3 linked regions of the Caenorhabditis elegans genome follow. The protein of the gene in region 1 purifies or fractionates together with the protein of each later gene. This does not show direct contact. Each region holds a gene or a part of one and is shown in the gene's direction. Other genes may lie near its edges.

Region 1 (3,752 bases):
ATTGAAGAGATTATGATTGGAGAAGATAGACTTCTTCGGTTCTCGGGAGTCAAATTGGGTGAAGCTTGCTCAGTCGTTCTTCGTGGAGCAACTCAGCAGATTCTTGATGAGTCCGAAAGATCCCTCCATGATGCCCTTTGTGTTCTCGTTACTCACGTGAAAGAATCAAAGACTGTTGCCGGAGCTGGAGCGAGCGAAATTTTGATGAGTTCAGCCATCGCCGTCGAAGCTCAAAAGGTTGCGGGTAAGGAAGCCCTTGCCGTTGAAGCCTTCGGAAGAGCCCTTGCTCAATTGCCAACCATCATTTGCGACAATGCTGGACTTGACTCGGCTGAACTTGTCACAAGACTCCGTGCAGAGCACGCCAATGGACGTCACAATATGGGAATCGGTTTGTTCATTTGGAAATCTAACCATTATACAAAATTATCTTTCAGACATCGAGAAAGGAGAGGTTGCTGATGTTACGAAATTGGGCGTTATTGAGTCTTACAATGTGAAGTTGTGCATGGTTTCTTCCGCCGCTGAAGCCACGGAACAAATTCTTCGCGTCGACGATATCATCAAGGCAGCTCCACGTGCCCGTGCTCAAGATAACCGACCATGCTAATCAAATTGTTCGCCAGACTGTTAAAAGATCTTCAACTTTATTCTCCCTTTTTCAGCTTTTAATCGAGTGCTTCAACACAATCGTATCTCGTTTTTTTTCGTCCCCTTCATTCTTATTTTTGATGGAATTTGATACACTTTCTGTTGCTTCTGCCTACCGTTTTTATATGCCCCCGTTTTCAATTTAATATTCGAGAATACCGCGTGTTTTTGCTTGTTGATTTGTTTTCCTTTTAAAATGAATGGAGTGCGATTTACAAAAGGTACAATATTTGAAATGTATTTTATTCCAGTTTTTATCTGATTTTTTATATTTCTGATTAAAGAGAAAAGAAAAAGCTTAAAAGAAAAAATTTAGAACTGCCAAAAGATGCACAGGAGTTTTCCGAGGCTTGTCCGATCGCAAGGTAACTTGTTGAAAGGAATGTTTGGAAAATCCGGGGAAAAGGAAGCAGTAAAGCAGCTGACACTGGAAGAACAGGAGAGCCTTCGCAAGACGCTTCCCAGCATCCGTGCTAGAGAATCCACACAAGTTACTGCTTCAGCTGATTCTGTCACTGAATTTGACGATGATCTGTTGACGATGAGCCGTATCGACACGGATGCCATCCGGGCCAGAGGTTTTCTCAAATACACGCAAAACTATGTTCCCGGCGTTGATGTCAAAAACCAAGTACTTGAAGCAGCGTCATCATGTCTAAGAAGTGCTGGAGTAAAGTCTGAAAACGTGGATCAGTACAAATTTGTGGAAGGAGATAACTCTGTAAAGTTCGAGTTGTTGAACAGGCTGGGAAAATCCATCGAACATTGGCCAACCAATGGAAAACTTCTTCATTTGGAAACAGTGGCAGACGTCGTCGAATTTTATCAGACGCCTGTCAAAAATGTAACAAAATATACAGAGTTAGTTTTTGTTTAAAGATGCTTATTGAATTATTAATTAAAATAAATTATAGAATGGCTCGCGATGAGAACAAACCGAAAAACGTCTCGATTATGGAGCATGCTGCACGTTTCCATCCTGAAGACACTCACATGTATCATGGTGGAATCACTGCATTCCCAGGATCAGGTGGTGAAGTTCTCTCTCTGAGACAGAAACGTCTACTTCGACAGTTCCAACCGAAAAAAGAATGGTTCGATTATGATGATCAGGTAATTTTTAAAGTTTCAGTGCTGACTTAAAATCGGCATTTTTCAGACATTTGATTACACTCGTCCTGACAAGAATATGCCATGGGATCCAGAAGTTGCTAATCAAATGGACAAATACACTGATAAACGATACAACCTAAAAACAAAGCAATTCACTAGGATTCGACAATAAAAAATAATTTGGTTCATTTTTGTATTAGAGTTTCATATTTAGTATTTTTAGACCTATTTTCTTTTTGTTTGATCTATCGATTTTTATTGTTGTAAATAAAATTGACGTTGAAAAAAATATTTTTGACCTCTTCACGTTTTGATCTTCCTCTAAAGTTTTGCTCTACGCAAGTTATTTCAGTTTTTGATTTAAAATGTTTGTTCCATTCACCTCGGCAGCTCACTCGCTCACTTCGCTCATTCGAGGTGGCGGGCAGCCTTCGAAAAGCAATCTGTCTGGACAAAGGTTTTGGTTATCTCTTTTTCTTTATTTTCCGCCAGTTGATTTCATGCTCCCGCGACTTCCACACGCAATCTGCAAAATTTTGGCTGCTGAATCAGGGTAATGGGGTCTGCCGTGCCTTTTTTCCAAAACGTTGACTGATGTTTACTTTTCTTTTATGTTTCATTTTGACTTGTTCAATGGTTTTGAACAATAGTGTGTGCAAACTAACGTTTTTCTTTAAATTCAACACGCAAGCTTTGAGGTGTTTTAGTTAGAAAGAAAATAGTTGTGTTTCTCTTCAAAAATAAGTTTTTTCCGAAATGTTTTGCAAATTTTCCGAATCAACAATTTCTTCTCATATCAGACCTTATCACTTCTTCTCACTTCTAAAACTGACCACTGAACATAAAAAACATTTGGTAACTCGCTTCTCAAATCCAATCTGAAGTGCATGCTTTGCCAATCTGAAACTTCGTGTAAGTCACGTATTTAGGCGAAAGGCAGCCGCTCAAGTCGTCGCTTCTCCCCAGCGGCAGTTGCTGGCGTCCTTGGCCCCTCACTTGTTTTCGAGCCCAAGGCATTGGCTCCTCTTTTCTTCTCGGCATGACGAATTTAATCATAATTCTCAATATCTAGAAGTGTTCAAGAACTTAGTGAATCTGCAATGCCTTTTTTTTGTAACTTCAGTTCGAATCTTAACTGCGTCTCTTTGAGATCTACAAACGAATTTTATTCACTGCCACGAAAAAGAGGCTGTCCGTGCGATTCTATTGAACGTGCGCTCTCGGGCCGCTCACAAACACATCTAACCAGCTGCATTTTCTCTGAGTCTCGTGTCCTCCGTGCGACCTTCGTCACTCTTTCCACTTTCTGCGCCGTCTATTGACGGCGCCGCCTTTTTCTTCTCGCACTCCTTTACCCCTTCTCGCCTCAAACATTTTATCTTTTCAGTTGTTTTGTTTACTAGTGCCCGTTTCTCACGTAGTTTTATATACTTGTTTGATTATTGAAAACATATAGTTCATTTTGCAGGATGCCAATCACCAAGATCCACGCTCGCCAAATCTACGACTCCCGCGGAAACCCAACTGTTGAGGTTGATCTTTTCACTGAGAAAGGTAAGCGAGCATTGTATAAATTCTATCAAAACTTGAAAAACCAATCTAGATTTGAATAAAATAAGATTAATCTTGTTTTATTCAAATCTGAAATTTCATGAAGTATATTTCAACATTATGACGCAATTCCGAAATCACATCATTTCTTGTTTCCAGGAGTCTTCCGTGCCGCAGTTCCATCTGGAGCTTCTACTGGAGTTCATGAGGCCCTCGAGCTTCGTGACGGTGACAAGGCTGTTCACCTCGGAAAGGGGGTTCTCAAGGCCGTCTCGAACATCAACGAGAAGATCGCTCCAGCTCTGATCGCCAAGGGATTCGATGTCACTGCACAGAAGGACATTGACGACTTCATGATGGCTTTGGATGGATCGGAAAACAAGGGAAACCTCGGAGCTAACGCCATTCTCGGAGTTTCACTTGCTGTCGCCAAGGCT
Region 2 (3,752 bases), on another chromosome or scaffold:
ATTCTCGCGTTTTCTCCCAAAATTGATATTTCCAGCAGTTTTTTCCGCGTTTTGTCTCGGTTATTGCCAGAATATATTTTCCTCATTCTCTAGCAAATATTCGCTAATTTTCCTGATTTCCACCCTATTTTCTTCCGGAAAGTTCAGTTCGTTCCATTCTTGCTTTAAAACTGTAAGGAAGGAGCGGAAATAGGTGATTCAGAAAGAGTTTTTTATCAATTTTCGGCATCCGATAACGTCGTGAATCGAGAAAAATAAAAAAGCTATAAAAATTATCACATAGCGTAAGATTTCGACTAGAAAACTCTCAATTTTCCTATTTTTTTTGATGAAATTTCAGCTCACAGTGAGTGTTTTGTAGAAAAATGTAAAATTTTCCCCATTTTCCCCATTTTCCGCTTTCTGGAGTTTATTCGTTCGATTTACTGACAAAATCTTCGGGTTTTCTGCAATATTTATAGAAAAATCCGGCCAATGCTACGAAATTTCTGTTTTTCGCGGCTCTTTTGACTATTTCGTGACTTTTTTGGGGCTTCGATCATCAAAATTTCGAATATTTTTATGATTTTTGAGCATTTTGATGTATTTTTTTTCTTCTAAATGACTTTCAGATCTCCTTGGCAGAAAAAACTGCGAATATTATAACAACTTGAAGCTTCCTCGACGATTTTTGGCGACCTGCTGTTCCATGTGACTCACCATTCCAATTTCGCAATCCACTGGTCATTCTCGGCATTAAGATCCATTTTCAGCGCTCAATTTCGCAATTTTCAAAGCTAGAAAGCTTTGTTCAAATTGAATTGTTTCGCAACTCGTCTTCTATCGCCTTTTGGTTCTCTTTCTCCTCCGTCGTCTTCGCTGTGTTCTCTTCAAAATGATTCATCATTGGCTTTGGTTGTGTCTCTGGGTCTGTGTGTTCAATATAAATTGCAACTGCATTTGACATTAGTATGGATTGAGGCGGGTTATTTCACCCTCTTTTAGTAGTACACACACATTCAATTTGATGGGCGGTCTCTGTCTCTCTTTTCGTCCTTTATGGGTGAATAACTGACCAGCGGAGCAAGCAGGCAGGAGCAGGAGCACAAGCTCGTTGTTCGGGTTGAAAAGGGGAAGAAGGAGAGCACCAGATGGCATGCAAACATTCTCTTTCTCTTCTTCTCTCTATTGCTTTTCCTCACTGTCATTCACTGCTTCTCCATTTGCCCAGCCAATTAGATGGAGTGTTCCGGGTGGTCAAAGATGTCCTCTAGTTTTCGTAGCAATTTTCATCTTTCGGAATTTGAAATTGGAAGTTTTCTTTAATTTCTCTCAATTTTGGGTCATCTGGCGATTTTATGCCATTTTTCTTGTGAAATTAAATTCTCAGATTGCTCTAGATAGTTCAAATCCTCTAGTAGTTGAAAATTCGCCTCAAAACGTTGCTTTTTTAAAAAGAATTCTCCCTTAAGTTGGTCCTAATTTCTCGAGGCGAGATCTTCCAAAAGCTGAATTTTTCCAAGTTTTCTACATCTGAAACTCGAAATATTTACTATTTTCGTAGTTTTTGGTAGTTTTCGGTGTTTTCGAGCTTCAATTCCGCCTTTTTGGCCTGAAAATGGTCTGAAAATCATCGAAAATTGGTCAACTCTAGGTAAAATGCCAATTTTGGTTTAAATCGGCTCAATTCACAGAAAATTTCCAAGAAATTCATGAAAGAAGCTCAATTTTTGCACTACATTGGCGAGAAAATTGTGAATTTAGTGAGATTTTGTTGGTTTTTGTCATTTTATCCATTCGCAAGTTCTTCGCCACCAACTTACACCACAGATAAGCAAAAAATCTGCGGAAATATCAATTTTTGGGTATTTCGGCATTAAAATTCCATTTTTTGCGCAGTAAATCAAAAAATAATCGATTGTTTACAAAAACCGTAATTTTCAAGCGATTTTATGCTCTTTTTCTCCTAATTTGTGCTCTTTCTTCATATTATCATTTCTCATTACCCCTCCAACCATCTCAATCATAATTTATGTTTATTTTTTCAGTATAATCTCCGCTTCAACCTCCTCCAAAACACAAAAATGTCCGGATGGAATGCCTACATCGACACAATGACTGCCGCTGCTCCATCAATCAAACGGTGTGCAATCGTCGGAGCCGCTGATGGATCTGTCTGGGCTCGTACTGAGGCTGACAATGTGTTCAAGGTATGGAAATGGACGAAAATCATCGAAGAAGCTCGAGAAAAAATCGATTAAAACTGGAAACGATTGAAAAATCCTTAAATTGACCCATTTTTGAGATTGAAAAGAGCTAGCGGGGTCGATTTTTGTTGGAATTTTCGCATTTTGACCCAAAAAACTGAAAATCTCGCGAAATTATTCACTTTTTGAATTGAAAATCGAAATTTTTAGCCGCTGAATTTACATTTTACAGGAATAATTAGCAAATCCACTCAAAAATTGCAAAATTTTCATTATTTTTCGAACAAAATTAAAAAATTCCAGATTAGGCAGGCTTCAGGCGGCCGTGCCTGCCTACCAGCCCCTGTTTCTCATATAGTTTATACTTCTTCGAAACCCAAGTAGGCAGCAGACAGGCTTAGGCTACCTTGAAGGTCAGGCAAGTTACCTGCCTGACTACCTTCGAGGTGGCCTGCCTGATACCTACATTAGAGCCTACTTGTATTTCAGCCGCCTGAAGCCTGCCTACTCTGGAATTTTCTAAACTTTTTTTTTTCAGATTTTTCAATTTCATGAAAATTTAGAGTTAAAAAGCGTTAAAAAAAAAATTAAAATTCGAAGATTTTTTCCTGCAAAATGTAAATTCACAGACTGAAATTTGTGATTTTCCAGTATCTCGGCCAAGAATAAGCCGATTTTTTTGGAAATTTCAGTGTTTTGAGGCCTAAAAATGCGAAAATTGGGGAAAAAGGCTAACTTTAGGGTTACTGGATTTAAAATTTCGAATTTTTGGAAATTTCAAAGCGCAAATTTTTTAACAAGAAATATTTCCTGTCCAAAAACTTCTCTAATTTTTTCCAATTTCCAGGCATCCGAAGAAGAGCTCAAAACCTTCGTTGCCCTATTCAATGACGTCACTCAAGTTCCAGCAAAAGGAGCCGATATCGAAGGAGTTCATTACGTCGTTCCACGTACCGAAGAATCGCTCATCTTCGGAAAAAAGGAGAACACTGGATTCTTCGCTGTGAAGACCAAGTCTGCAGTCTTGATTGCTGTCTACGAGGGACCAAATGAAGTTGCTGCACAAGTTCGCAAGGCTGTCGAGAGTATGCAAACCTATCTCAACAATGCTGGATACTAAATACTTCTCTCTCTATCGATTGTTGTTCGATTCGTATTTATTCCCGCTTTTCTCTATTTTTTTTTTGCAAACTTCCCCCTTCTCCCTTCTCCCAAACCTTGATTTCTACGAGTACAACGATGAAATTCGGTTTTCTTCCGCGTAATCTTTCCCTCAAAACTCCCATTCCCAGAGCAAACACAGAAACAGTTTTTATTTCACTTTCAGCTTTATCATAATGTATTGTATTCCCCCGTTTTGTTTTCTAGTAAATTCATTGCCAATTCAATGCCTTCTCGATTATTTCATTTTCATCTCCCATCGACGGAGAAAGAGAGTGAGAGAAGAGTTTTGTGCTCGGAGCAATTATCGCGTGTTTTTTTCGAAACCACGCCCACACTGCAATTGTGCGGCGCGGTTTTTTGGTCAGAATCATTTTACAGATTTTTATCATCGTTTGCAAAAAT
Region 3 (3,752 bases), on another chromosome or scaffold:
AGCTACGGTGGTTTTAAAGGCGCATCACACAATTTTGTATGATGGGTCTCGAGTGGAAATTTTATTTTTTGACATTTTAAGCGAGCTTAAAAAACCTCTTGCTTAAAAATTGATAAACTATTAGTTTTAATTGGGTTTATTTCATAAACTCATCGGAAAACATCTATTTTATATTTTTCTTTAAAAAAACAGAAAAAACAAGAAAACCAAAGAAAAAGAAGAAAAAAGTGGTACTGTGGATTTAAAGGAGCATGGGGCAGTTTTATCGTATGGGTCTCGAGCGGAAAAGTTTGTTTCAGCAATTTCAGCCATTTAATAGTGAAAAATTCAATGCATTTATTAGTTTCTGTTTAAAAACCAATAAAAATCCACAAATTTCCTTTAAAATCGATAAGAAACTCAAGAAAAAGACTAAAAACCAAGCAGTTTGTCAACTTTATAATCGATTTAAGCCATTCAAAACGTGGCTTTTTGCTTGTATAATACGTCCGTGTGGGGGGTGGCGATTCGATAGTGTCTCGTCGTCTCACCACTCTCTTCACAAATTGTCACTCTCTCGTCGCTCGGTCTCTCAAAATGTGTGGAGAGAGACGACGACGCAGATGTTATCGCAGTGTACTCTGCGTATCGTCTCTTGTTTTTTTTTGGTTTTTTGGAAGTTTGGTTAGTCATTTTTGAATGGGGCAATTAAAATTATCTACAAAAACTGGAAAAAATTGAATCTCCCTGAAATCATCCACAAAAATATATAAAAATGTATAAATCTGCCGGAAGCAATATTTGAAAGATCAAAATGTGGTCCTCTAATATATCATGCGGTTTTCTCCTAAAATGCTTCATTTCCTGAACCAAAATAGCTTTATTTCAAATCCAAAAGCGATTTTCAGTGATTCTTTGTTGAAACCGAAATATCTCAAAATCTAAGAGAGATTTTCAAAAAGTTTCAACTAACAAAATATAACCATTTAAAATTCCTATATTTTGTTAGTTAAAAGTTTTTTGATAGCTCTTCTCCCCGCGGAGATATGCACGTTCAAAGTTTAGGCAGCGAGAAAGTGTGGAGGGAGGGGAGACGCAGGCAGCGCGCGCTGTCTCCGTCTCTCCCCCTTCTACACTATTTTATGGCGTCAATTTTAAAGGCGGATATCTCAACGGAGAGAAGAGAAATAAAAAGTTTTTAACTGACAGAATATAGGAAATTTTGAGGGCTACATTGAATTGTTAAAATTTGGTTAAAATTTTGATTCTTGTTCGATTGTTACCCGTTTAAGAGTTTCGAAATTACAATTTCGAGGGAAAATTGTAAGAAAATGTAGGTTTGCTAGCTGAAAATGTGCTCTCAGAGCAAACTTAGTCACTTAGTGATAAGAAAATGTTAAGAAATTATGGAATGTACGTTAAAACTGATAAGGAGGCAATGATCAAAGTCAATTTTTTTTTTCCTAAAATTTTTTTTCTTAACGTTTCGGGGCCTCCAACTAGAAACCAGTATTATTTGAAAAAATAAGATATGAGCAAACATCAGGTCAGAGAACATAATCAGAATATGTTTTGTGGTAAGAAATTGGGCACAAGTTAGACATCAAAAAATTTGCGCGTTCTTTCACCTACAAATTTTCAAAGATACATATCTCTGCAGGGAAAAAAACTTAGAAAAAGTTGTCAACTAATAAAATATAGGAAATTTCAAGGGCTATATTTTTTCAGTTTGCACCTTTTCTAGAACAGTTTTCCTAGCAGAGATATTAACGTTTGAAAAAAGAAGTACTGAATGGGCGGGGAGCGACGCAGGCAACAACCCGTGCAGTTTCAGCCCTTTGTATCTCTGTTTCTATCAATGTTAAAAAAAAGTTGTCAACCAATAAAATATAGGAAATTTCAAGGGCTATATTTTAATAGTCAACAATTTTTTTGATAACTTTCTTCATTGCAAAGTTACACCTAAAACATCATTACACCTTGTGTTTTGCTACCAAACATCACCGATTTCTCACCTAAACATGTTATTGACCTTTATCATTCATTATCATTCATCACTATCACTTTTCTCCAAAATTGTCACAAACACATTGACTTTCTTTAGAAAATGGCAGCAAAACCTATATTGTACTCCTCTTGGAGTTCAGGATGTTCGTCAAGAGTTAGAACTGGTGAGTTTTCCAAAAAAAAATCTGTAAATCCTGATTTACTGTTGAACTATGCGTCTTTAAAGTCAAGAAGGTGAGAGAGTATGGAGGGAGGGGAGACGCAGAGGCTGTCTAATTTTCAAAGGCGCATATCTCTGCAGAGTGCGAAGTTATCAAAAATTGTCAATCAACAAAATGTTGGATATTTTAAGGGCTATATTTTGCCAGTTTACAACTTTTTCGTACCTCTTTCCTCGGCAGAGTTATGCGCCTTTAAAGTTGACGTGAAGAAACATTGTGGAAGGGGGAGAGACGCAGACAACTAGTGCCACCTGCGTCTCCCCTCCCTCCACACTCTCTCGCTGCCTAAACTTAAAACGCGCATATCTCAGCGGGGAGAAGAGCTATCGAAAAAATTTTAACTAACAAAATATAGGAATTTTTGAGGTCTATATCTAAGCAGGTAACTGAACTTCAGAAGACAAAAAAAAATATGGGATTTTTTTAAATTTTTTCAGCTCTTGCTCTGAAAAAGATCGACTATGAATATCAACCCGTGAACTTGCTGAACAAACAGAAAGAGGTAAATTTTAAATTTTGCTCCTAACTCCAAGTTTTTCCATTTTCAGCAAGAATTCCATGGGAACAATCCTGCGGAAAAAGTTCCAATTCTGAAAATCAACGGTCTAACTCTGACAGAAAGCATGGCAATAATCGAATATCTCGATGAAATCTACCCAGACCCACCACTTTTGCCGAAAGAGCCCGAGCTCAAAGCTCGCGCGAGAGCTATTGCTTTTCATGTATGTTTGTTGCATTTATAGACATATTAAACTGTGTTATTTTCGTATTAAAATTTTTAAAATTCGAATTAAGTTCACCAAGACCCCCACAAAATAGGTAGGTTTGTTTTCGCGGTGAGACCAGAAATAATTTCTCGATTTTGCTATAATAGAAAAATTTCAGATCGCCTCAAATATCCAGCCTCTGCAAAACAAGCCGATCTACCTGATGCTCAATGAGAAAGAGCCCGGCTATGGGGATTTTGTGAGTTCAAAAAAAATTTTATAGAGTAGTTAGTATTTGTAGGTGTAAAAAAATTCCTAAAAATCTGAAAATTTAAAGCAATTTCTAAAAAAAATTCCAAAAAAATTTATATAAAAATTTGTTTTTTTTTTTTGAAAAAAAAAACTTCGCAGTTTCCTCGTCGAGACCTAACTTTTTAGATTTTCAAATACGAATTTTATATTCAGCTCACCAAGAGCTTCAAGATGATACCCATATTGGGGTCTTGCCACGAAACCCCTCAGGGTTGCGGTAGCTATTGTGTATTATACTTTTTATATATTTATAATACTTTTTATAATTATACTTTTTTAAGCTCTTAATGCACTGAATTCGATAATTGAATTAATTTTTCCTTTTATACTCTTAACTTCAAGAAATCAATAAAAAATTCTTTAAAAAGTGAATTTTTCCAGTGGTGCCAACACTTCATCAGCAAAGGATTCAAGGCTCTCGAAGAGCTCCTGCAAATGCACTCTGGAGATTTTTGCGTCGGAAATCAAATTTCTATCGCTGATATTTGTCTTCCATCAATTGTGTATAATGCTATAGAAAAGTAAG

The links.
Region 2: the proteins of enol-1 (region 1) and pfn-1 fractionate together in Caenorhabditis elegans (co-fractionation; one large-scale study listed by BioGRID). This does not show direct contact.
Region 3: the proteins of enol-1 (region 1) and Y53G8B.1 fractionate together in Caenorhabditis elegans (co-fractionation; one large-scale study listed by BioGRID). This does not show direct contact.

The regions. Positions count from the first base shown.
Region 1 is NC_003280.10:8,928,874-8,932,625, forward strand, and holds the start of enol-1 (Enolase), read left to right. Parts: upstream 1-2,129; coding exon 2,130-2,221; intron 2,222-3,232; coding exon 3,233-3,318; intron 3,319-3,474; coding exon 3,475-3,752. Other genes in the region: cct-2 (T-complex protein 1 subunit beta), read left to right, coding at 1-391, 438-610; mrpl-50 (Large ribosomal subunit protein mL50), read left to right, coding at 980-1,512, 1,566-1,764, 1,811-1,936.
Region 2 is NC_003279.8:12,919,977-12,923,728, forward strand, and holds pfn-1 (Profilin-1), read left to right. Parts: upstream 1-2,027; 5' UTR 2,028-2,063; coding exon 2,064-2,189; intron 2,190-3,033; coding exon 3,034-3,306; 3' UTR 3,307-3,572; downstream 3,573-3,752. UniProt on the Caenorhabditis elegans protein: Binds to actin and affects the structure of the cytoskeleton. At high concentrations, profilin prevents the polymerization of actin, whereas it enhances it at low concentrations. By binding to PIP2, it inhibits the formation of IP3 and DG.
Region 3 is NC_003281.10:3,127,259-3,131,010, forward strand, and holds the start of Y53G8B.1 (maleylacetoacetate isomerase), read left to right. Parts: upstream 1-2,018; 5' UTR 2,019-2,086; coding exon 2,087-2,150; intron 2,151-2,644; coding exon 2,645-2,709; intron 2,710-2,755; coding exon 2,756-2,929; intron 2,930-3,092; coding exon 3,093-3,173; intron 3,174-3,607; coding exon 3,608-3,747; intron 3,748-3,752.